4 linked regions of the Arabidopsis thaliana genome follow. The protein of the gene in region 2 interacts with the protein of the main gene of each other region in a pairwise test. Each region holds a gene or a part of one and is shown on either strand. Other genes may lie near its edges.

The links.
Region 1: the proteins of AT2G16030 (region 2) and AT3G53810 interact in a protein complementation assay, tested with the Arabidopsis thaliana proteins (one large-scale study listed by BioGRID).
Region 3: the proteins of AT2G16030 (region 2) and AT2G21237 interact in a protein complementation assay, tested with the Arabidopsis thaliana proteins (one large-scale study listed by BioGRID).
Region 4: the proteins of AT2G16030 (region 2) and AT1G47530 interact in a protein complementation assay, tested with the Arabidopsis thaliana proteins (one large-scale study listed by BioGRID).

Annotation. Positions count from the first base shown.
Region 1 is NC_003074.8:19,931,769-19,938,325, reverse strand, and holds AT3G53810 (Concanavalin A-like lectin protein kinase family protein), read left to right. Parts: upstream 1-2,933; 5' UTR 2,934-3,139; coding exon 3,140-5,173; 3' UTR 5,174-5,356; downstream 5,357-6,557. Other genes in the region: Fes1B, read right to left, coding at 5,607-6,093, 6,203-6,305, 6,386-6,557.
Region 2 is NC_003071.7:6,971,734-6,977,381, reverse strand, and holds AT2G16030 (S-adenosyl-L-methionine-dependent methyltransferases superfamily protein), read left to right. Parts: upstream 1-2,374; 5' UTR 2,375-2,490; coding exon 2,491-3,186; 3' UTR 3,187-3,709; downstream 3,710-5,648. Other genes in the region: AT2G16040 (hAT dimerization domain-containing protein / transposase-like protein), read right to left, coding at 1-629, 1,059-1,365; AT2G16020 (uncharacterized protein), read right to left, coding at 3,796-4,026; AT2G16019 (uncharacterized protein), read right to left, coding at 4,100-4,210; AT2G16018 (uncharacterized protein), read left to right, coding at 3,864-4,265, 4,762-4,803.
Region 3 is NC_003071.7:9,099,038-9,104,333, forward strand, and holds AT2G21237 (uncharacterized protein), read right to left. Parts: upstream 2,179-5,296; 5' UTR 2,148-2,178; coding exon 1,647-2,147; 3' UTR 1,499-1,646; downstream 1-1,498. Other genes in the region: BPC4 (basic pentacysteine 4), read right to left, coding at 2,478-3,299, 3,384-3,452; AT2G21250 (NAD(P)-linked oxidoreductase superfamily protein), read right to left, coding at 4,371-4,601, 4,684-4,903, 4,986-5,118, 5,251-5,296.
Region 4 is NC_003070.9:17,448,022-17,455,225, reverse strand, and holds AT1G47530 (MATE efflux family protein), read right to left. Parts: upstream 3,674-7,204; 5' UTR 3,503-3,673; coding exon 3,233-3,502; exon of another isoform or gene 2,939-3,232; intron 2,838-2,938; coding exon 2,642-2,837; intron 2,553-2,641; coding exon 2,207-2,552; intron 2,111-2,206; coding exon 2,024-2,110; intron 1,939-2,023; coding exon 1,882-1,938; intron 1,790-1,881; coding exon 1,432-1,789; intron 1,350-1,431; coding exon 1,263-1,349; intron 1,170-1,262; coding exon 1,116-1,169; 3' UTR 765-1,115; downstream 1-764.

The sequences.
Region 1 (6,557 bases), on a different chromosome or scaffold from region 2:
AAATGTGCGATGTCTAAATAAACAATGTATGCAAATTGACGTAAAAAAAATAACAATGTATTTGGGAAATTAAACACATCTTTTACACGTATTATCAGCAAACGGTGGAGGACATATATATGTTATCTAGTTTTCTTTAATCAATGTCATTAGAAAATACTTACACAAATACATGTTTATTGACTTAGCTTAGCTTCCTTCATAGATTTTCATCAAGTTAGAGATATGTACCTATAAGTCGGTATCATAGATCTCGTATACGCTATATTTAATTGTACTTACTAATGTCAAATGTTAACCAATTGTTTACAATAAGAATCTTAGATTAAGCTCATTCTTAATTTATAGTGTATGAATTTCAACTACGAATGTAGTTCAGAATTCTTTCTTTATGAGTTTAGGTTTCTATATTAAATATAGATATGAAGACTTAAAACCATTTTAGATAATATATCAATCTTTAGGGCGGGGTCAATGATATAAAATTTCATAATAAAATTACATATGTTAGATATCAAAACATATAGTTCTTGATTTGTACTAATGTTGACATAAATTGATATATAAATGTTAACGTGTCGCAATTACATTGAATTTACCATGTTTTCTAACTAATTAACCTGCAATCTCAGTTTATAATGTATGTTCACAATATAAATATCCGAACAACAACAAAAATGAAATTAAAAAGACTTTTCACGATAGCAACATGCCAACATCTAATAATGGCGGGAAGCAACTTACATAACTGGTCAGTTTGTAATGTATATAAATGTTGACGGCACTCGCTTAGTTAACTTGTGAAATGGTTAACGAGGGAAAAGTATTATAATCGTTGCTTAGGGAAAACTATTTAGAACAATTCCGCATTAGTCTTTTGGACTTATCCAACAAATAATTGATATTGACAAATTAACATTATAATCTCCATTAGCTTATTTTAACCCTACGGTTGGCTTCTAAGAACAACTCTAATTTGAACATTTCTTTGAGTGACTTTTCAGTGTCGGCGTTTCACATGGATGTCTTTATCTGCAACCTCAAAGAAAAAGTTTCGATTATAATTGTTAGAAGTTTTTATTATACTCTGAACTTTTTTTGTAACTTTTAGATATAAAAAAAACATATATATGGGGCTTATCTTATACATTACTAACTAAATGCATCTGGGCCTGGGCCTGATTCTGGGCTTAGCCATAACTGGATTATTTTCCTTTTTTTTTTTTTTTCTGAAATCAATGATATATCCATCAACCAAAAGAAAAACATTCAGAAATTTCTTTCAAAATCTCTTAAGCTAGTTTTCTTGTGGTCCAGAAAAAAAATTGGTTTCTTTTTACTGAAATTTAAACCTTGAGAAGTTTTGAATCAACAAAATATGGATTTTGACCAGTTGCCATACTATAGGCTTTTCTTTTCTGTATGCTTTCCGAATTGTTCATAGTATTAGTCTATAATACTTCTTATTGGAAAATATGTCGAGATTTTGAACTAAAAATTGACCGATCAAGATCGTTACCAAAGATATTACTTTTACAGTACTTGTATTTTATTAACTTAGCCAACTTCAATATCTATATAAGAATATGATCTTGTCATTTTATTCTGAGAATCTAATACCAAAAAGAAGTTATATGGCGTTCTTTTATGTTTCTAAACCCTATCATATCAATTTAACACATCCGAATCCAACTATAACCAGTCCTCCTAAATGTTAGAGTGTCGGGATAGAATAAAATTGAAGTGCAAGAAAATTCAAAGAAGATCGATCATGAAGCTGACTGAGACGAAAAATCAAAGGTCAAAAATTGAGAAGCTTCCTAAAGAGACAAGTGGACAAGTTTTGACCAGTTGTCCATTTGACACATGAGGACCCATCACTATCATATCACTCCTTAAAGTCGTTGCTCTCTCCCTCTTATCACTACCTTTCTTTCTCACAAATCCAGGATTCATTCATTCACGTTTTCCTACACCTCAAACAAGTTTTCAACGTCACTATAGACTATAGTGTATTTATGGAACATTTCATTTCCTAAAAATGATACAATCTATTATCAAAAGAGAAAAAATCTAACAATTTTTGGATAAGTCCACTTATTCATAAGTACTGTGACATGAAATCCTATTATTTATCTCAGCATTTAGTTTGTTTCTGCATCACGCCAAAGGAGAAAATGTCAAAAGAATCTTCCGTTTATTGCATCACAAAATTTATAAAAATTCATATGCAGAGGAATATTTTATATGTCGACCACTGAATACTTTCTGATGAAGGAACAATATTAGTTACATAACCACTAATATAACACATAGTAAATCTTAGCCTCTCATTTGTTTGTTGTCGTCAATCTCAGCCTTTCAAGCCACACTATCTAAAATGATTTTTGCTTTTGTACTTCCTGTGAAACGTTTGGATAAGTACACATCTATTCTGATATCTTTTTAGTGTTCACACAATATTAAGTTTTGGAAATGTTGCAAGAATAATACTTCTGTCACCATCCAGAACGTTTTAGTCAATTAGAGAAATGATAGTTCTCTTACAAGTTAAATTTAGTTATATGAAGTTTAACCAAAAAAGTTTTGTTGACCAAAAAAGAAAGCTTTACCATGGTTCAAAAGTTCTGGAAATAAAACCAAACAAAGCCGAAGAGAAACACGTTTCTAGAACTCCAGTCTCAGAATCACAAACTTGAATTTGTGTGTCTTAACCATATGACTCATAAGATTGAATTTACTTCATTTAATTTAACTAAACAAAAATGATCAACAACATCTCACTCATTGACCATTGACCACTAGAAGTCACATGCAGACAAACTGGATTAATGCATCAGTCAAAATCAAAGTGTGGTTTTTTTTTGTATATACACTTCCTCCTTATAAAACCAATTAATCATAGAATGAAATTAACTTCTATTTAATTCAAGCTTATATAATCTTGATTAATACTTCACCAACCACTGACATATTATTCAAATCTCACAAAGCGTGGCCTCAAAGAAACACTACCACGACTTTTTTTTCTTATCCTTCTCTTCACCTCTTTTAATAACTTCAATTTCTATCTTCAATCTTTTCCTCTTTCGTTTAACAAAACAGAGTAAAACTAAACCGGATTAAACCGGAAGCAGCCATGTTCGTCAAGCTCAAGCTCATCTTCTTCTTCTTCCTACTCTGTCAAATTATGATTTCTTCCTCTCAAAATCTCAACTTCACCTACAATGGTTTCCATCCTCCATTAACAGATATCTCACTCCAAGGTCTCGCAACAGTAACACCCAATGGTCTCTTGAAGCTTACCAACACATCGGTACAAAAAACCGGTCACGCCTTCTGTACTGAACGAATCCGGTTCAAAGATTCCCAAAACGGCAACGTATCATCCTTCTCCACAACCTTCGTCTTCGCGATACATTCTCAGATCCCAACACTAAGCGGCCATGGAATCGCCTTCGTTGTAGCTCCAACGCTAGGTCTTCCTTTTGCACTTCCTAGTCAATACATCGGTCTCTTCAACATCTCTAACAATGGTAACGACACGAATCACATCTTTGCCGTCGAATTCGATACAATCCAGAGTAGCGAGTTTGGAGATCCAAACGATAATCACGTCGGAATCGATCTCAACGGTTTACGATCGGCGAATTACTCGACGGCGGGATATAGGGATGATCACGATAAGTTTCAGAATCTGAGTTTGATTAGTCGCAAACGGATCCAAGTTTGGATCGATTACGATAATCGTAGTCATCGAATTGATGTCACCGTGGCTCCGTTTGATTCTGATAAACCTAGAAAACCTCTAGTTTCGTATGTGAGAGATCTTTCTTCGATTCTTCTAGAAGATATGTATGTAGGTTTCTCATCTGCGACTGGTTCAGTTCTCTCGGAGCATTTCTTAGTCGGATGGAGTTTCCGGTTAAACGGAGAAGCTCCGATGCTCTCGTTATCGAAACTCCCGAAGCTTCCTCGATTTGAGCCTAGAAGAATCTCTGAATTCTACAAAATCGGTATGCCTTTGATTTCACTATCTCTGATCTTCTCTATCATCTTCCTCGCTTTCTACATCGTGAGGAGGAAGAAGAAGTACGAGGAAGAGCTTGATGATTGGGAAACAGAGTTTGGGAAGAATCGATTCAGATTCAAGGAGCTCTATCACGCGACCAAAGGTTTTAAGGAGAAGGATCTTCTCGGCTCCGGTGGATTTGGGAGAGTTTACAGAGGCATTTTACCAACGACGAAGCTTGAAGTCGCTGTGAAGAGAGTCTCACATGATTCAAAACAAGGTATGAAAGAGTTTGTGGCGGAGATTGTGAGTATTGGTAGGATGAGTCACCGGAATTTAGTTCCTCTCTTGGGTTACTGTCGCCGGAGAGGAGAGCTTCTTTTGGTTTACGATTACATGCCTAATGGGAGCTTAGATAAGTATCTTTACAACAATCCGGAGACTACCTTAGATTGGAAACAAAGATCTACGATTATCAAAGGAGTTGCTTCAGGATTGTTCTATCTTCATGAGGAATGGGAACAAGTTGTGATTCACCGTGACGTGAAAGCTAGCAATGTTCTGTTAGATGCTGATTTCAATGGTAGACTCGGTGATTTTGGGTTGGCTCGGTTGTATGATCACGGCTCGGATCCTCAGACCACTCACGTTGTTGGAACATTGGGTTACTTAGCACCTGAACATTCCCGGACTGGACGTGCCACTACCACGACTGATGTCTATGCGTTTGGTGCGTTTCTTTTAGAAGTTGTTTCCGGTAGACGACCCATCGAGTTCCATAGTGCAAGCGATGATACGTTCTTGCTTGTGGAATGGGTTTTCAGTTTGTGGCTCAGAGGTAACATAATGGAAGCGAAAGATCCGAAGCTCGGTTCTTCAGGTTATGATCTTGAAGAGGTTGAAATGGTATTGAAACTCGGTCTGTTGTGTTCGCATTCAGACCCTCGGGCTAGACCAAGTATGAGGCAGGTCTTACAATATCTAAGAGGAGACATGGCACTGCCTGAATTAACGCCCTTGGATTTGTCGGCGGGGAGCGTGATGAATCTGGGAGGCCGGGACGGTTTTAGCGGTATTGCAATGACTGATTTTTCCACTGTGTTTAAAGGGTTTACCGGCGGATCTTCCATTGCTGACTCTCTACTCTCCGGTGGGAGGTGATGTTTGATGTTCCAACTCTAGCAATGTTTTATGTTTATAGTTTTTTTAAAAAAGGTTTACTAATACGGATCATGTACATACATTTTTGCCTTTGTATGGAATATATAATTGAGTTTTTTGTGATATCTTATAAGAATTTATAGAGTATGAAGATTATGATTGCGATAGTGGATTCAGTATCAAGAACAGTCTCGCAAGTATTATTCATGACTTAAACATAATAACGGTACACTATGATATTGGCAAAGTGAACGGAGAAGTTGTAGAACTTGAAGTCCATGAGTGTAGATTTGTATTACAGAAACAGAACACAGATAATCTCTTTAATAGCGTCTTGTTGTCGCTCAGATATACATAAACAAGAGCTAGAGAAATTCTAAAGCAAAGCTGATTTGTTGATAACTGCAAAATCTAATAATTTGGTTGAACGAGATCACGGTGCAGGACCAAGAAGAAGTGGAACCGGGGATTCACTCGTTTCATCATGTCGTCTTGCAGCCCAAGCCCTTAGAGGAGGTTCAAAGCGGTCCCTAACCACATCAGGAGCCAGCTCGTCGTCAGAAGGGAGGTAGACCAGACCTCTTTCTCTTAGAAGGGACGGTTCATCATAACACACGGTCCAAAGACTATCCACTAGCTGTCTTTCTTCTCTAGCTGCACAAAGATCTTCGTCCGACATCACAATTATTCGTCTTGTTCTCTCCTCAAGAAGCTGTCTTAGATTCACATCCCCTCTATCAAGGTTTCTCACAGATTCTTCACGGGCAAGCTCTAGGAGACCACGAAGAGCGAATTCCCGAACTTCAAAATCTTGGTTGGATGCTAGGTGGATCATTATGCGAGGGAATCCAAGATCTCTAACGATTTTACAGTCTGAGTTGCTTTCTTGGAGAAGATAGTGAAGCAAGTTCAACGCTTTTCTGAAACAGAAAGAGTATATTGGTTACTACACTGAAAACCTGAACCGAAACAGAACCAAAACCCGGATCAATTCATCTACCTAATACATATTCTTGAGACCCTATTTACCTTTGGAATCTAACGGTATCAGAGACCAAAGCGTCTCGCAGGCCAGCATAACCATTTGCCAGACGGAATGCTGTAATCCCGGGTTGGTTGTTACGGATAAGAGCTGCAATGTCGAAAGCAAGAAAAAAACTGTCAAACTTTTGGGTTCTCAAAGCAAACTTTGCTAGAAATAGTAACTCTTACAAGATATAGCCCCGAGTGCCTTGGTCCGGACTCTAATGTCAGGATCAGCAATAAAGTTAGTTAATAATGGTTCGAACCCATTTGCTTCCATAACAAGTTGCTGGCTTCTTGGATTGTTTTGGACAACCGTAGTCAAAACATCGGCAGACTTTGCTCGAATTTTCGCATTAGA
Region 2 (5,648 bases):
TTTTGGCAACACATCTTTTAAAAGTTTCAGCTCCATAAACAGATCTTCTCCATCAACATCTGAATGCACATCATGCTTCAAAGAAGCTTCAAGCTTCATACACGATGTCCTTAACTCATCATCTTCTGCTACCTTCAATCTCTTTACACCAAACAAAAATCCAAATATTTGTTCATATACTTGGAATTGCTCGAATCTTATCTCAATACACATTATAGCTTGATCCATTATATTGATGAAGTAATCAATTCTAAAACTCTCCTCTGCAATCTTACTTTCATCAATCTTCTCAACATCCTCAACAAATTGCTTTTTTTTTTTCACCGACTTTTTTGGAAATACCGGCGCAATCTTCATCTCAATGGCAATTTGTGTAGATTCAACTTTGGCTTTCTCGAAACCTGTTTCTTTGTAGTTTTTCAAATAAGTAACAAGCCCTCCTAACTGAGAAATAGCAACCTCAAGATCCATATCCTCAAACTGTAAGGATTTGCTTACTATATTCACAGCAGCTAGCAAATCGTACCAAATTATCATTCCAAATAAAAATTCAAACCCTCCAATTCCATGTGTTTCACTCTCTGTAAGAGACTCAACATCACTCCGGTGTCCTGGATTATCAGTGTATTCTGCCAAATAAAAAAGTGCATCTTGTATCTGTATCTTTGAAGCTTAATATCTTATTGGTTTAAGACTATCAATGCGGCTTTCCCAACGCGTTTGAGACAACGGTTTAAGTGTAATACCATTCACTGTTTCTCTAAACACTTCCCAATTGTTGGTTGAAGCTTCAAACAGACAATGTATTCGCTGAACAATTCCAAAAAAAGAAACAGCTTTCTTGGATGATGAAGCCATATCACAAAGTGCAAGGTTAAGACCATGGCATCCACATGGAGTGTAAAATGCTCTTGGATTTATATCAAGCAACCTTTTCTGAACTCCTTTATGTTTTCTCTTCATATTTTGTCAGTTGTCGTATGCTTGTCATCTTACATCATCAATATTCAACTTAAGATCAATCAATGCATCTTGAAGAGTCTTAAAAAGCCCCTCACCCCTCTTATCTTTGATGTGTAGAAACGTCAAGAAGAACTCCTCAATCTTAGGTGAACACGTTGAAACATCCACACATCGAATTAAGAAGGTCATTTGTTCTTTACGACTAACATCCGGAATGGAATCAAGAATGACTGAAAAATACTTCGCATCTTTAATCTTCTTTAAGATCATCATCTTGGTATCATTAGCAAGTAATTCTGTCAATTCATTCTGACTCTTATGACTGGGAAAATGGCAATGAATTTCACCTTTATTAGCCCGCCGAATGTGTTCCTTCATATCCGAATTAAAACCTCCAATCATTCTAATAAATGCCAAAATATTTCCACTATTTGGATCATCAACATTCTCTTTAGTTCCACAAAATGCTAAATTTTGTTTAGCTAGAGTCTTTACCACTGCAATTATTCTCACCAATACATCTCTCCAATGTTTTTTCTCCTTCTTAATTGCCTATTCCATATGGTTATCAATTGTTTTACTCTTTTGTAATCTCACTTCTAGCTCCATCCAATGAGTCATGGAAATAATATGACGATGAGTTGTTTCATGTCTTTTCAGCCTTTGCGCAGCATTTTTCCAGTCATTATACCCACTACTTGCTAACAATGTAGGATTTGTTTCTTGATCGAATAATTAGAGAGAAATTCGATCCGCTGATTTTTGAGGAATATTTGAATTTTGATTCTAAAAATAAGTGAATTCGAGTTTTGGTGACAAAGCAGCGCATTTGTTAGCTGATTGTATTTTGATTATTGATGCTATATAGACATAGATTTGTGCGAAAATTGAGGAACAAGAGAGAAATTTGATCCGCTAATTTTTGAGGAAGATTTGAATTTCGATTCTAAAAATAGATGGATTAGATCTGCAGCGTTTGTTAGTTGAATGTGTTTCGATTATTGATGCTAAATATACATAGATTTGTGCCAAAATGAGGAATTAGAGAGAAATTCGATCCGCTAATTTTTGAGGAATATTTGAATTTTGTTTTTAAAAATAGATGGATTCGAGTTTTGGTAACAATCGGCGGTGTTTGTTAGTTGATTGTGTTTTAATTATTGATGCTAAATAGACATAGATTTGTGTAAAAATTGAGGAACTGAGAGAAATTTGATTTGCTAATTTTTGAGGAATATTTGAATTTTAATTCCAAAAATAGATGGATTCGAGTTTTGATAACAATTCGCAGCGTTTGTTAGTTGACCATGTTTCGATTAATTATACTAAATCGACATAGATTTGTGGAAAATTGAGGAAATAGAGAGAAATTCGATCCGCTAATCTTATATGAATATTTGAATTTCGTTCCAAAAATAGATTATTTAGAGTTTTGGTAACAATCAACGGCGTTTGTTAGGTGATTGTGTTTTTATTATTGATGTTATATAAACATAGATATTTTGATCGGAGTTTTGATCGGCGACGATGGAGAGAAACGTCGAGAAGATGCTGAAGAGAGTATCAATAGTGTTCTTAAGCATCGGAACAGTATTAATGGTAATTATGATTCTCCAGACACCAAAAACTTGTATTTCTCCAGAAGCTCCATCGAAACCTCATACGCATTTCCCGAGATCTACATGCGATTCATCGCCTCGTCAGCATCTTCCTCTCCCAAAGAAGAACGCTCGAATCTGGTCCTCTGGAGCTTGGAAATCTCGTCTATACTCCTTCTCTACCTACTTCCTCCGATTTCGCGATCTCGGATTCATTCAAAATCACACCAAAGCTCTCTGTCTCTCCGCCGGAGCAGGCCATGCTCTGATGGCTCTTTCTCAGATCGGATTATCTGATGTTACCGCAGTTGAATTGGTTGATTCGATTCCTCTTGTGAAAAGAGCTGATCCTCATAACCTTCCGTTTTTCGACGGTGTCTTTGATTTTGCCTTCACTGCACATCTAGCTGAAGCTCTGTTTCCGTGGCAGTTTGTGGAGGAGATGGAGAGGACGGTGAGACGTGGCGGATTTTGTGTGGTTTCGGTTGATGAATGTGGTGGAGATGATGTAAGAGACATTGCTAGGCTTTTTCATAACTCCAAGGTCGTTGATGTTGCTAATGTAACCTTAGAAGGATCCAAAAAGACTAGTATACTATTCAAAGTTCAAGACTCTCCTACCTGAGGTGTTTTATTTCTCTTTTGATTTATAGGCCCTTTCCGGATTCTCAGAAAACTGCTTCAATATTCATAGAGTGGAGCTAGATTTGTTTCTGTTGAAATTCACTTACATGTTTGAAAAGCAGGAGATTTAACAGATTATGTGGTAACATTGTTCAAAGACCATGACCATATTTGTTCTGGATCCTAAAGCAATGTTTTGTTGAGGGAAGCTGCGATGTTTGTTGCGAGTTCAAGATCCAGAACAAAAGCTTTCTACAGGTTAATATCTTTTTTTTTGGAAGTTGGTCTCTGAGCTAAACAATTCTTAGGAACCTTGGTCGCTTTTGAAACAAGTAAAGAACTTTCAACAGCTTTTGAAGACTTTAGTGTGTGATGAAAGAAAGTACTTTCTTTCCAGGTGAGGTTCACGTTTCAATCTGTTAGAGCTCTCCTGTGTACTATTTGTGAGTTAAGTAAAATACTCTTTAGTCATTTTGTATACTTAGAAAGAACAAAATTCTTATTGGTGAATAAAAGGCTCTTACTAAAAAAAAAAAAAAAAAAAAAAAAAAATTTTCTCTCAAGCAAGATAACCAAGGTAGCCGCAAGCCTTGTTCGTGATTAGTTCTCTTCACCGGCGTTGCTCCTCTGACTGCCTGCGTTCCTGATTGTAGCTACTACTAAAGTGAGATCTCTCCAATGAATCTACTTTTCCGGTGGCGTAATTGTTTTCCGGCGAGTCTTTCACTTGAAATGACTTTCCTTTTTCTCTCGAATGCGAGCCACTCTCGTCGCTTACCGTCGTCTTCGGTCGCCTTCCTCCTTCTGAGGCCACCTTGTGCACCACCACCAGAGCCTCCATCTCCGCCGACTCCACCGGAACCACCGGATCCACCAGATTCTCAGATCTGCTTCACTTTTGCTGATTCTTATGCTCAGTCGTTGAGCTCCTCTTCCCTCCCAGATTTGGTCTCGCTCATTCTCCATATCTCCTCCGCCATATCTGAATCTCCGTCACCGACCTCTTCGATCACTGATTTTTTCATTGATGTTTTCCTTCTCGCCGACGACACCACTTTTCTTCCTCAGTATTTCCCTCAGGTTTGCTCTTACTCTTCGCCGTATGTTTCTTCTAAGATTGGAAGGGTTTGGTTGTTGATAGAGTTTGTGGCTCTGGTTTTGTGGAATTTGGGTTTGTGTAATTCATATGTAGCTTATCTAGTTTCGATTGGCTTGGATACTTTTGTGCTCTCTTGTAGCACCTCTATCGCTTTGATGCGATCACTTACCACAATATGTGGATGTCTTAATTCGCCTTTGTTAAAAGTTGTCTCATCGCAGCTTAGACAGAATGTTTTGGATACTTTTGTGCTCTCTTGTAATACCTCTATCGCTTTAATGCGATCTTTTACTGCAGTATGCGGATTCTATCTCGATTTGTTTTTGTTAAAAGTTGTCTCTTCGCAGCTTAGACGGAGGGCTTTGATTTCAGACAACCTACCAGTTTTTCTGGTTCATTGGGGATTTCATAGCCCTCATCTCTCCTTTATGGAGCTTTTTATCCTCTCAAATACTTCACTTGTGTTTAGTGATAAAGTTACAGGGAGCATTGTGTGCAATACTGATCTGCTTGAAGTAGAAGCGAGGATTGTTGTTCAAGACTGTTCTCATTCAGCCTTTGCCGATTGTTTGACGTTAGTGTCATTGGAGGCTTTGTTTCCTCCTTATTGTGGTTTCGACAAGGTCTTCCAAGCTAAAGGTGTTTGCTTTTTTGGATGCTCTTGGTTAGTTGCTGCTTTGCTAGAACCTTTGGGTTCACCCTTGTCCCCAAGTCTCTTTTTGAGCATTGTTGTTGCTAGCTTTCGCTTATGTTTGATCTCTATGTTTGTCGATGCTTTAGCTTTTCCGACTTGTTGTTGCTATGTTGTATCCTCTGTTGGTAGAGGTTAAAACTCTTTCTCTTTTATGATAAGATAAGTTTGCCCAAAAAAAAAAAGACATAGATTTGTGCGAAAATTGAGAAAGTAGAGAGAATTTCGATCCGCTAATTTTTGAGGAATATTTGAATTTTGATTTCAATATAGATGAATTAAAGTTTTAGTAATAATCAGCGGCGTTTGTTGGTTGATTGTGTTTTTCTTATTGATGCTAAATAGACATATATTTGTACGAAAATTGAGGAACGAGAGAGAAATTCGATTCGCTGATTTTTGAGTAATATTTGAATTTTGATTCTAAAAATAGATGGATTCAAATTTTGGTAACAATCTGCGGCGTTTGTTAGTTGATTTTGTTACGATTATTGATGCTAAATAGACATAGATTTGTGCAAAAATTGAGGAAATAGAGAGAAATTCGATTTGCTGATTTTTGAGGAATATTTGAATTTTGATTCCAAAAATAGATGGATTCGATTTTTGCTAACAATCTGTGGCGTTTGTTAGTTGATTATGTTTCGATTTTAGATTTCTATTCGATAAGTGA
Region 3 (5,296 bases), 2.1 Mb from region 2:
TAAGGACAGTTGACAAAAGAAATCTCTCTGAGAAAATGATTGGTGTTTTTTTTTGTCTGGTTCAATAGATTGCACGACCCTCCTATTTATATTTGGTTAAGGAAAGGACACAAGTCTCATGTTTTTCACCCTCCTCATATTTAATTAAGGATTTTTCCCTTTTTATGGTCTCAAATATTTTATATCTATACATTTGAATTATTTTTTCTATAAAACAGCTTTTACATTTTTAAGATAAAAAGCTATACTGTACTGTGTTGTAAGGTTATACAATGAAAATTTATAAATCTAAATTGTTTGTGTTTTGCTATCGAGTCATTAGTTAGTTATTTTGCCGCGTTATTTATTCTAGTGAGTTATTTTATCACGTTTTTTTCAGTTTTATTAATGAGTTATTGACACGTTTATTTCGTTGTAATCGAACTATTTTACCACGTTTATTTAAGACTGATCAAGGAACATAAATATTGTTTGTTTTCTTTTTCTGATTTAGATATACATTTGGTTCATCTCTAGAAGAATTACCAATGTTGGATTTTACAAATGATTGTTGTTTGATTTTTTACAGAAAGTTTTGTATATTTTTGTAGTCCTTTGATTAATTGTAATTGTGAGATTTATTTTTTGGCTATATTAATAAATATCATATATCTCCTTTTTTTGATCAACTAATATTTTTATTTTTGTTTATTAATTTATTGATTTTAGCAATCACTTAATTAGTAAATCTTTTCTATGCACTACATGGACCCACATTAAATTACATTACTTAATTGTAGATATTTCAGTGAATCTAAATTAAATTTTGTAAAAAAAAATGTATTTTTATTTGGAAAAAATAATTGTTGTTAGCAATAAATTAATAGATACTATAAATGATTGTAAGTTTGTTTAGAAATTAAATTTACCACATTTGGCTAAAAATTGGGTAAATCACCATAACAGTATTCTATATAAGTAATTTATCTTAGACCAATTATGTAGCGACAAATGTACATTAGTAGATTTACTTCCTTGTTTTTTTGGGGCCACCTTTCGGCCACTTGATAAGTAAAATTTCTTTCTATTTGGGCCAAAGTAACTTCTTATTGTAGAACCGGTAACGAAATTGACTCAAACAACCCATGAGACTCACACATATTATTCCTCGCTGAACTGACACGTGGCATTATTTCAAAGAAGTAGAGATTTTTACCTTGAATGTAAAGATTTTTTATTTTAGTTTTTCCAAAACTCTACTTTATAGCAATTCAAAATTTTGCAAAAAATACTTTCCCTAAAAAACAGAGGATCTAGTATTTTACTTGGGTTGTTACAAAATTTCAAAGAAAAACCAAAACCCATTGTAAGACTTTTTCATCTTTTGCTTTTAACTAACAATATATAGTACATCAATATATATATATATATATATATATATATATATATATATATATATATATATTGAACTCAGCTCATAAGAGGGGAAAAAAGAAAGAAAGATGTAATTCGAATTTTTGAAGATCATTGGTCGTTGGATTATTGGAAAAGATAAAATGCTGAATAACAAACATATCACAAAAGAGATTATTAGATTCTTGAATCGATCTGATAGCTAACCACATCAAAGTTATTTTTTTGAATGAACCACACTAAGTTTTAATTTGCTAACGAGTTCGACATGATCTTACTTCGCCGTGAGACGGGAATGACACTGCGCGTTTTATCCTCGGCATCTTCTTGTCATCCGGAGCAACCACAACGGCTAAACTTTGGCAGCTGTTTTTCACCGTTTCTTCAGTTCGTTTAGTCGTCTCGGTACTCTGATTCTGCACCACACACGGTTCTTTGCTTGGAGTTGAATCCACAATCTGATCTGAGCCGCGCCTGACGAGAATATGAAGACCGATCAAGATGACAAGAGGAAGACACATCAAGAACAATGCATAGTAGATGATCCACCCGAATCCCGTGTGACTCTTTCCGTGACAGATCCACTCAATGACTAAAGCCATTCCTGAGGTGAATGTAGTCAAGCTGCTTAGGACAAAAACTTTGACAATCCCCGGATTCGGAATTTGCAAGAAGGCTCTTGCGGCGCCAAGAAACCATATCTCTTGTGACCGTTGATGCGTCTCCACATGCGCCACTGTGGCTTTCTCCATCATTTTGTTGTTGTTTATGCTTACTTTGTGTTTTATTTTTTGTTCTCTCCTCTCGGTATAAAAAGAAACTAACAAGTGAAAGAAAAAAGGGGTAACAGATTTTGCTATCAAAGGGGTAACAGATTTTGATTTTTAACTGTTACGATTTTATTTTATTTTTTGAGGTCAAAACACAGATTTTTTATGCAAACCATTTTTGCCCATCCAAAAGATACACATAACAATGGTTTTACCATACACAACAAAGAACAAACTATGGACAATAAAGACAAAGACAACACCTAATCTTAAGAAGACGAGAGAAACATACTTGGACTGTGTAAACAACAGAGGCTACTTGATAGTGATGTAGCGGTTTGTCCCGTGCCTAGCCCAATAGTCTTTAAGATCAACAGGACACGAGAGATCATATCCTTCTGCTGATAAACGGCTGAGTAATCTCGAGAAAACGTTTCCGCTCATTTTCCTACCGCCCATCCGAGAATGCCTCTTGTTTGGCATCTGCGGTAATGGATACTGGGATAAGGTGGTTGTGCAGCAAGACGATTGCCAGCCGCCATTTCCCCATTTGTAACACTGACGCGTAGAGCCTGTGCACGAACACATGGGTACAGGCATTGTCGTCTCATCGAAGGTGACTAAGTTCAAACCGACATCTTGACTGTCCCAATCTGTTCTAGATTTCTTTCCAGGAGCAGGAACTCGACGGTTCAGATCTTCACCCACTTTTTTCACCTTTGATAGTCCCTGCTTGTTCTCTTTCTTCCTTTTGTTCACCACCTTCGTGTTTGTAACCTCAGGCGGAATAGTTGACAAAGGGAAGACTTCAAGTTTGTGGGGTTCCCCAATACCAAAACAATCATCTCCATCAACACACTTCCCACCAGACAAAGCAAAGTTGAGACTATTTTCATGGTGTTGAAGAGCAGCATAAGCATTATCTCTCTCTATCAAAGCTTTATCTCTCTCAGAAAGAGCTTTGTCACGTTGCTGAAGCGCTTCGTCCCGAGCAGCGACAGCTTCCTTTTTAGCAGAGACAGCTTGATTTCTTTCATGTACAGCAGCGTCTCTCTCAGCAAGGATGGACATGATCTTCTTATTCATCACCAACGCATTATGTTGTTCCTTAATCTGATGCTGGGGAATCATATTCCACTGTAACAAACATTCTTTGCTTATATAACTTCAATCACACTAACAAAAACATATCTTTAGGAAACCAAAAATCTTAAGTCTTACCATAGATTGTGCACCTTTGAAGTAATCGGGCTTGAACCGCGCATTATCATACTGACCACCATTCTCCATAACTCTTATAATCTTCAAACAGTGAAACACCGAACCAATCAAGCTTCTCCTCCAAACACACTCAGCAACAGTGAAACCAAATTTCAAACATTGTGATTCGATCTATGAAAACAATTGAAGAGTAAGAATTACAAGCAGATATTAGCACACTGAACTCGCAATTCACTATCTTCAAACAAAATCAAAACTTCTCGAATTGATCTGCCAGTTAGGGTTCCGCAATTGATTCAGATACCAAAATCAATCTGAGCTAGTCAGAGAAACAGGTCTTAAGGAACAATTTTACGAAAATTGGAATAAATTAGGTCAAGATCAAAAAGGTCGAATCAATCTAAACCTTCCATGACAAGAGATTATTCCGCGAAACAATAGAAAACAAGGGTGAAACTGAAATTATAAACCCTAGAGATACAACACATTCAAAATTGATTAACAAATAAATTAAAGAGAGGAAAAGGCGCGAAAGCTTACGAATTCGATGAGCTTCTGGAAAAAATCTGGGCAAAATGGATAATTGATCGAGAAGAAAGATCCAAAGGGTAGAGAGAGAGAGAGATAGTGTCTCTGTCCGCGAAGAAGCTCAATGTACTTACTTCGTCATTTACCAAATTACCCTCTTCTCTACTACTAAACAAGAGAAATCAAGGGTATACTCGTCTTTTTAAATATCCTCTTTCAGTTACAATAATGATTCATTGTGGATTTAAGCATATAAATAGAGAAGAGAGAAATCTATATCACTTTCCATCAATGTGTGATATTGTAGTACTTAAGAAATCATAATCTGTTTAACAACATGAGTTTATGTATGAAAGATAGGCTCACAAACATTTGAGAATGTTTCAGGTAAAGCTATGGCTTCTTCTCGTTGTTTATCTTCTTAAGCTTCATTTATTCATGTAGATAGAGAGAGTGTGATCAAGCGTAGAGATCAATGTTCCAAAACTTGGCTGGTTGGTTCGTGCGGTATTTCCTCTCCATGCTTTTGATCACTTCCATGTCCTCTTTCGATAGTTCGAAGTCGAAAACCTGAAAGTTCTCTTCCAATCTCGCAGGCTTTGATGTCTTTGGTATCACCACCGTTTTTCTCTGGATTCCCCACCTCAGGACAACTTGTGCCACTGTCTTTTTGTACTTCTCGGCCACATCCTAAGAATTCAGATAAACGCAGTCCTTTTTTAATTGTCAAAGGTTCAATCCAAACTTTTAAGGTTTAGAGGATGGGGCTTACTTTGAGAACTGGATCATCCAGGCATGACACGGTGCCAAACCACTCGGCATTGGCTGTGGCACCTCCGAGAGGAGTATGAGCAGTGACACAGATACCATGTTTCTGGCAGAATTTGACAAGAGAATCACGTTGGAAGTAAGGATGTGTCTCGATCTGATTCACAGCAGGTTTGATCTTGGAGTAAGCCAAGCAATCTCTCGTTAGAAAGACATCATAGTTACTGCAAAAAACCTAATGGTCAAAAAATTCATATATTGGCGACTAAACAAGAGAACTTGTAATGATAGTGAGAGAAGTTGAACCTGATTCCAATGCTGCGGACTAAACCCATAGAAACAAGCTTTTCCATGTCGTGCCATGTAGTTTCCAGAGAGATGGTCGTGTCTATGTCCAATACCCCGTCATCGCCCAAAGCACTATCGGTTGTCCCTACTCCTGCAAAGCATATATAGAAGACACTTAAGAAAACTTGATCTCAGTCAGTGAAAAAGGAGGACTTGTAATAAAACGAAATGCAATGGTCTCTGACTCTAGACTAATAAAACGCTAATGAGGCAGAGGCCTCACCGGTGTGTTTCGTTGCTACGGGAAAATGAACGAGGAAGAGATCGAG
Region 4 (7,204 bases), on a different chromosome or scaffold from region 2:
CCCAACTATAAGATTATCTTTTGACAAGTACTCTTTTTTTTCTTCATAAATTTCCAATAATAGAGATTACAAGGTCAAAAGACTCAAGAGAAGCACGCATGCCCAAACAGGAAAACAACAAGACGCTAAACCATTATTAATTAGTTATGTCCTTAAATCCATGCAAATCTAAACCATTCACAGATTAAAAAAAAAAAAGATAAGTTAGACTGTAATTGTATATATATTGGTTGATTTACAGAGTTTGATATATCATAAAATGTATCAAACAATATAATCATTAAATGATGTTAGTTTGATATTTCAGAAAATGCATTTGTTACCATATTACGGAATCCATTATCCTAACCGTGACCGAATTGATGAAAAGGATTAGTGCATGGGTTGATTCACAATTTGAGCACTATTACTTGTTTGTGTATTTATAGTAAATCTCCATGCGAAAACCAAACATAGTAATTAAGGGTAGACTATCTAGTATATAGCACACAGCTCTCGACTGACCTAAATTTTAATTCAAACACTTATGAGATGGGCAGACAAATTTACTGCTTTAACGGTTAGTCTGTGACCCTGATTCATGAATTGTTGTAGTCCATCTCTAATATATTGTATCGTCACACAACTATTTTGATATTCATTTTCATCTTCTTTTTTTCTTTTTAATATTCCTCTTGTTTATATAAGATTTGTTAATTTTTAGTGACTGAGTTGCAACAGATCAACGACAGTCCTAAAGATCTGTTGCTAATACCACCACTAATTAGCTATGTTTGACAAACGGTAAGATCTTCGCCTTCAAATGAACATAAACATTGGATCAAGTCTGACCATTAAAATAAAAACGAAGGATCAACAAGCTTATGAAGATTAAATCTCATACTTAAAATTAATCAAGAACTTTGGCTTAGCAACAACCATCCTAGAATCTAACATAAGTCTAACACATAACAAACCGTACCCCTCTAACAATCACTGAGAGACTCGTTAACTTTAAGCATATCAAAAAACAAAAAGAGATGATGTTGTTCTCCGATAAACAATTTTCTCAACATTGAACATTGACAAAAAAAGATCAATAACTGATATAGTCCACGTCCTAAGGGAGTTGTTGATCACTCCTGCGCCGTTCCTCCCCATCTCTGAACTCGACTCTCCGCTTGCTCAGCCTGCATAATTTAGAATTCAAAGCTAATTAATGAAATGATCAAACCAAACACAAAGGAGGAACATAGCAGCAACTAAAAGACAAAGTAAGAGACCTCTTTGTTCCAGTTAGTGAAGTAGATGATTCCAATCAATATAAGTGTCTGCAAGCATATTCCAGCTACCATACCTCCCCATATTCCCTACAAAAATATACAAATGATTTAACACCAGATTAAAAAGAACAAGGCTAATACAAAATGGTCATATTAGTAAATAGCTAACCTGAACGCCGAGGTCTAGTGTGAATCCAAGAACAAGACCAGCAGGTAGTCCGATAATGTAATAACACGCAATGTTCACGTATGCAACCAGAGCCTGCCACCCCGCTCCAACCGCAACCCCTGACAAGACGGGCTGGAGGCTGTTCAAGAGGACAGTGAAGCCCAACAAGACGGCTATTCTCGTGGTTTCTGCTGCCACAGCTTCGCTTGAAGTGAAAAGATAAGGGAAGCTGTCTTTTGTGGCTAAGACAACAATCATGCACACTATCCCGATAAGAGTTGAAGTTATGGAGACGACTATCACTGAGAATTTGGCTAACGCTGCGTTTCCTGCACCCAGCTCATTCGATACTCTCACACTGATCACACCAAGAGACAAAGTTCACCAGTTCATGAGATTTTTATTAGCTTTCCAAATGTGGCTCCTGAAACATAAAGGTAGAGAACTTACCTAATCGCAGCGTTAAACCCGATCGAAATCATGGCAGTCCACCCTTCTATATTCATGCTGTGAACCCCAAAACATAAAATATGTTACTAAACAAACCTATTTTCAGTGAGAAACTAACCAAAGATCAGCACAAATTGATTACCAAATGGAGATGGCATCGACTGGTATCAACGGGTTAGGAAGGAGACCGGTAACAACAACCAGAACCATCAAGTACCAAAACTCCAAACTGCAAAACAAAAACAACTAACCTTTCATTACAAGCGAAGTCTCAGCTAACGTAAGTCTAAAGCTATCTTCTAGCCAAAAAAAATTGGATAGGTACCAAAGCATAAGAGCAGAGGCTAAGGAAAGTTTGACAAATCCATAGAGGTCCCGAAACGCTAGCATAGAAAATCCAGTCCACGCACCGTCTGATTTGGTGATTAAGATATACAAAAGCTGACCAATAACAATCAACCACCACGAGGTATTGAGAGTGATAGCTGCACCTACAAGTCCCCACTTAAAGTAAAGAATGAAGAGCCAGCTAAAAACTGCATGTATAACTAAAACCACTCCAGAGATCCAAGCCATCACAAGAACTTTCCTCTGTGACTGCAAGAATTTCTGTATCGGGAAGTTGGCTGCATAGGCAAATAGTTGCGGGATCATCCACAATGCGAACTTCCCTGAAAATTATAACAACGCAGAAGTTGTTACGTGAACATTGACTCCAAACTCAAAACCAATTGGCAAAAAGGAATAACAAGAATGATACCCGCGGCTTTAGAGATGTGAGGAGCCTCGCCGAAGAAGGAAAGAATAGGAGGAGCCCAAATGTAGACGGGAAGCAAAAACAAAGCAGTAGTAAAGAGAATGACCCATGAACGTTGCATATATATTCCCATCATCCTAATCTGTCCCGCGCCATATGCTTGTCCACACAACGTCTCCAATGCACTCCCCATCCCTAACTGCCACCATTTTCCATCATCAAAATGTTTATATTGTTTGATCTCTAAGCTTTTTTCATAGGAAACTTAAATGACAAGCAACAAAATTCAAGAGAGCTTACACAAGGACCCTCGTAGAGATTACTTGTATAACAAATATTATAACACTGAACTCAACTACATTAATATATCTACTTTATTTGAATATAAAACACACTGTTAGGATTTACTTAATCACAATTACGAAACAATTTTAAATGTATGGGAAAATCTACTTCATTGATATTAACGAATATTGATATTAATTAATACAAAAAAAGTCCTCAAATATTGACTTTTATTTCTGTGGCTATTATTAGAACACATTATCCATTACCAAGAACCTGACACGTGTGAAGGGTGTTTACGTAACATACCATGACACCGAAGGCAAGACCGGAGATAACAGAGTTTTCAACTGAGACGGCGGCGAGCTCAAGTTCACCGAGACGGCCGGAGAAAGTCTGAGTGAGAGCACCAAGAGAGTATTGACTTATGGCAGTGAAAATCGCTGGTCCTGCTAACTCCCAAAGCCGCTTCGACTCTTCGCCGAACTCTTTGGCCCATACTTTTGACGCCGACTTGGTTCCGGTGAGTTCCGGTGGCTCACGAGGGTCAAGCAACGGCAAAGTCTTATCCTTTCCCATGTGAAAAAAGCTCTGTTTTAGTTTCTCTTCTTTGCTTTCTCTTTGTTCTGACTTATGATATATGTATATAAATACAGAAGATGGAGACACACTAGTGTGGTAGGTGCCATAATGAATAGTCTAAAAAGGTCTGACATGAGATCTATCCAAAAGAAATAAACCGCCAAAAATGACTAAACGAAGGTAATGGAATTATTTAGTACATATTCTATAGTTTTGGTATGAATCGGCCTAATTTGGTAGTTAAATATTATCAGCATAATTTCTTAATATGAATAAATCTCAATTTAATGGGATTGTTAAGAGTATGGATTGGTTGAAAACTTGAAATGATAGTGTGATATGATAACAAAGATTTTTGTAATAGTTTATTTGGTTTTTGTTTTTGGGCCGAAGTTTGGGGCCGAAACTTTAAACACGTAGTTGAATGCAAGAAAAAAAAAAAAAAACTTGTGGTAATATGAAGAAGTACGTATGTACTAGGTAGGTACACTTTAGTTTTTCCTAGAAGGAGTTAACCGAGTCGTACAAGTAATTAAAATTATTGTGGACAGTGAATATAATGGACCAATGAGGACTTACCAGCTCGTTAGAAATACTTCGACCAAGGTTAAATATAATCAGACGGCTCTTTGAGTCCTAAATTGGGTTCAAAGGGTGACAACGGCAATGAACATTTAGTCACTTACCCTATCGCATTGAATTGGTGGATCTTGTTTTTATTTTCTTTTTAATATTAGGTGTTGGTGAAAGTGCAAAAGAAATTAATAAAATTGATGAACCAAAAAATCGACAGCATTTTGTAACAAGAAAAGCTTTTACACTGTCTGAACTTAACCAAAAGGAGAGTGAATCATGCATGGTCAATTGGTCATTGGTTAGTGCTCAAATTAACCATTGTTGTGAGAGCGAAGTTGTTGTGAAACTAAGAGAAATAAAAAGTCATGAACCAAATAATCGACATCGTTTTATATCAAAGAAATGCGAAAATATTACTTTGAACTTTAACCAAAAAGAGAGTGAATCATGGTAGATGATTATTGAATCGTGATCAAATTAACCATTGTTGTAAGAGCGTAGTTGTTGTATCATGGGATTCTTGCGGTAGTGAGGAAGCTATGTTTCAGAATAACTAGTCTATACTGAGAGGGATGAATCCTCGTTGTATCACATATTGCATGTGGACTCAAAAGATTTCACTCCTTGGTTGTTAGTTTTGTTCACATATTTCTTTTGTTTCGAAAACTAACATAGATTAACTCTTGTGAGTATTTAGTTACAATATCAAACCGTGGTGGCCTAAGCTGCTTAAGGTTACATCGATTGCCTCTGAAGGAGATATGGATGGTGTGATTGTGAAAGATATTATGGAGAATATTAAGGAAAGAGGTGATATGAGGTTTGGATCGAGGTTGCATTTTCCTGATTGCAGAGATGGGACGACCGGGAAGATGAACTATGTGTGTGATGAAGCCAGATTACGGTTCGAGCTCGGCTCTCAAAGAACGGCAACTTTATTTAGAAAACGCTCTGCTTGTCCCTTGATTGTTTAGCGTTCAAACTGTTGGATATTCCTTGCCTTTAGATGTTGAGTTTTCCCTTTAATAAAAAATACTATAAAAGTGTATTGTCCTACTACAGCTTTGATTCAAAATTATCCAAATTTATCCCAAAGAATCACTTTCTTTGCACTAATGAAGTAATGAGGCTACCACATTTTGTTTTCTTACCTGAAGTGAGCTAATATCTAAAGAACCAGACATTATATAAACAAGTGATTGAATACAAATTTGATTTCACATTTGCATATGAGAATTTAGTAGTCATACAATATTGAATAATTGCTCAGAATGTCCTTTCCACACTACCCCTTTTCAATTCTACCTTTTCTTATTTGCCATTTTCATTTATACCTCTTTAAATTTTTAATGACCATTTTACTCATATTTCGAAATTGTTTTAGGTTAACAAAATGAAATATTAATATTTTTTCGCCTAAAATATTCCAAAATAAATTTCCCACCAAAAAATTTCGAAAAAAAAATTTCCATCAAAGTTTTTTTCTCAAAAACATTTTTCCCGCAAAAATATTTTTTTGGCTGGAAATAGATTTACAAGGGATTTTAAAAGATCTTTAAAGGGTTTAAAAGGGTTTTAAAATATTTACAAGGGATTTTTAAAGGGTTTTAAAAGATTTTTAAAGGGTTTAAAAGTGTTTTAAAAGATTTACAAGGAATTTTTAAGGCGTTTAAAATATTTACAAGGGTTTTTAAAAGATTTTTAAAGAATTTAAAAGAAAACTCTTTAAAAACTCTTATAAATCTTTTTAAAACCTTTTGTAAAGGTTCACAAGAGTTTAAAATGGTTCAAAATTATTAAAAGGGTTTACAAGAGTTTTAAAAAGATTTTTAAATGGTTTACAAGGGTTTACAAGGGTTTTAAAGGATTTACAATAGTTTAAAAAAAAATTAAAATATTTACAAGAGTTTTAAAATCCTTTAAAAACTCTTGTAAGTTTTTTTAAAACCTTTTGTAAAGGTTCACAAGAGTTTTAAAATGGTTCAAAAAGAATAATAAATGTTTTAAAATACTAACAAATTTGTTTCTAAGAGTTAAAAAATGATTGTGAAGACTTTATAAGAGTTTTAAGAAGATTTTAAAAGGATTTACAAAGGTTTAAAAATCATTGTAAATCCTTGTAAATCCTTTTAAAACTATTGTAAAAGGTTTAAAATGATTCACAAAGGTTTAAAAGGGATTTTTAAAGTATTTACATATGTTTTTAAAGACTTTATAAAGATTTTAAAATGATTTATAAGGGTTTTTAATAACTATCAAAGCTTTTAAAAAACTTTCTAAGGATTTTTAAAAGGATTATTTTGGTTGAGAAAAAATTTGTTACGGGAAAAACATTTTGGCGGGAAATTTTCTTTTTGGCAGGAAAAAAGTTTGGCGGAATTTTGTTTTGGCGGGAAAAGTAAATTTTGGCACTAAAAATTTGGTGGGAAAATTTCAGTTCCAGTTACATGTTTTTATTAGATAAGGGTTATTTGGTCATTCTGTTCAGATGAGTGGTATTTTTTAAAATGGATAACATAAAAGTGTATTGTTGCAAAAGAGTAGTAAGAAATGGTAGTTTTGCATATCTTCCTAAAATATTTCTAGTTTAGTTGTCAGTTTCCTAAGAGAGGATACATATATCTTGTAAACCATTTGATGTAATTTGTTGGACAAAACATTATTTGAGATTAGAAAGAAGTATGTAAGAAATTTTACAAAAATATTATATATGATATTATAATAATTTATTTCATGTAGAAAATGGAGATGGATCTTCCGAATTTGATTTTCTTCTTGTGAAATGGTGGGAATTGATATTTTCAAAACTCCATCGTTAAATATGCAAAAATGTAATTTTCATTATACATATGTAATTTTGAATTAAAAACATAAAAATATAACCATCAAAATTTTCATTTAGTTTGGAACTAAAATATGAAAATGAATGATAAGTATAATCTAGTAATTCGTCATAGATAAAATAATATGAGAACAATCTAAGAAATATAAAGATAAAATTTAGAACCAAACCTTTACAATGATGTCTCAATTAATTTTTCAACCCAAAAAACAACACAAAAACAAAGAAAATATTTAAGATTTAAGATATGGTAGAAGTGAATGCGGAAAAGGTATAAACTG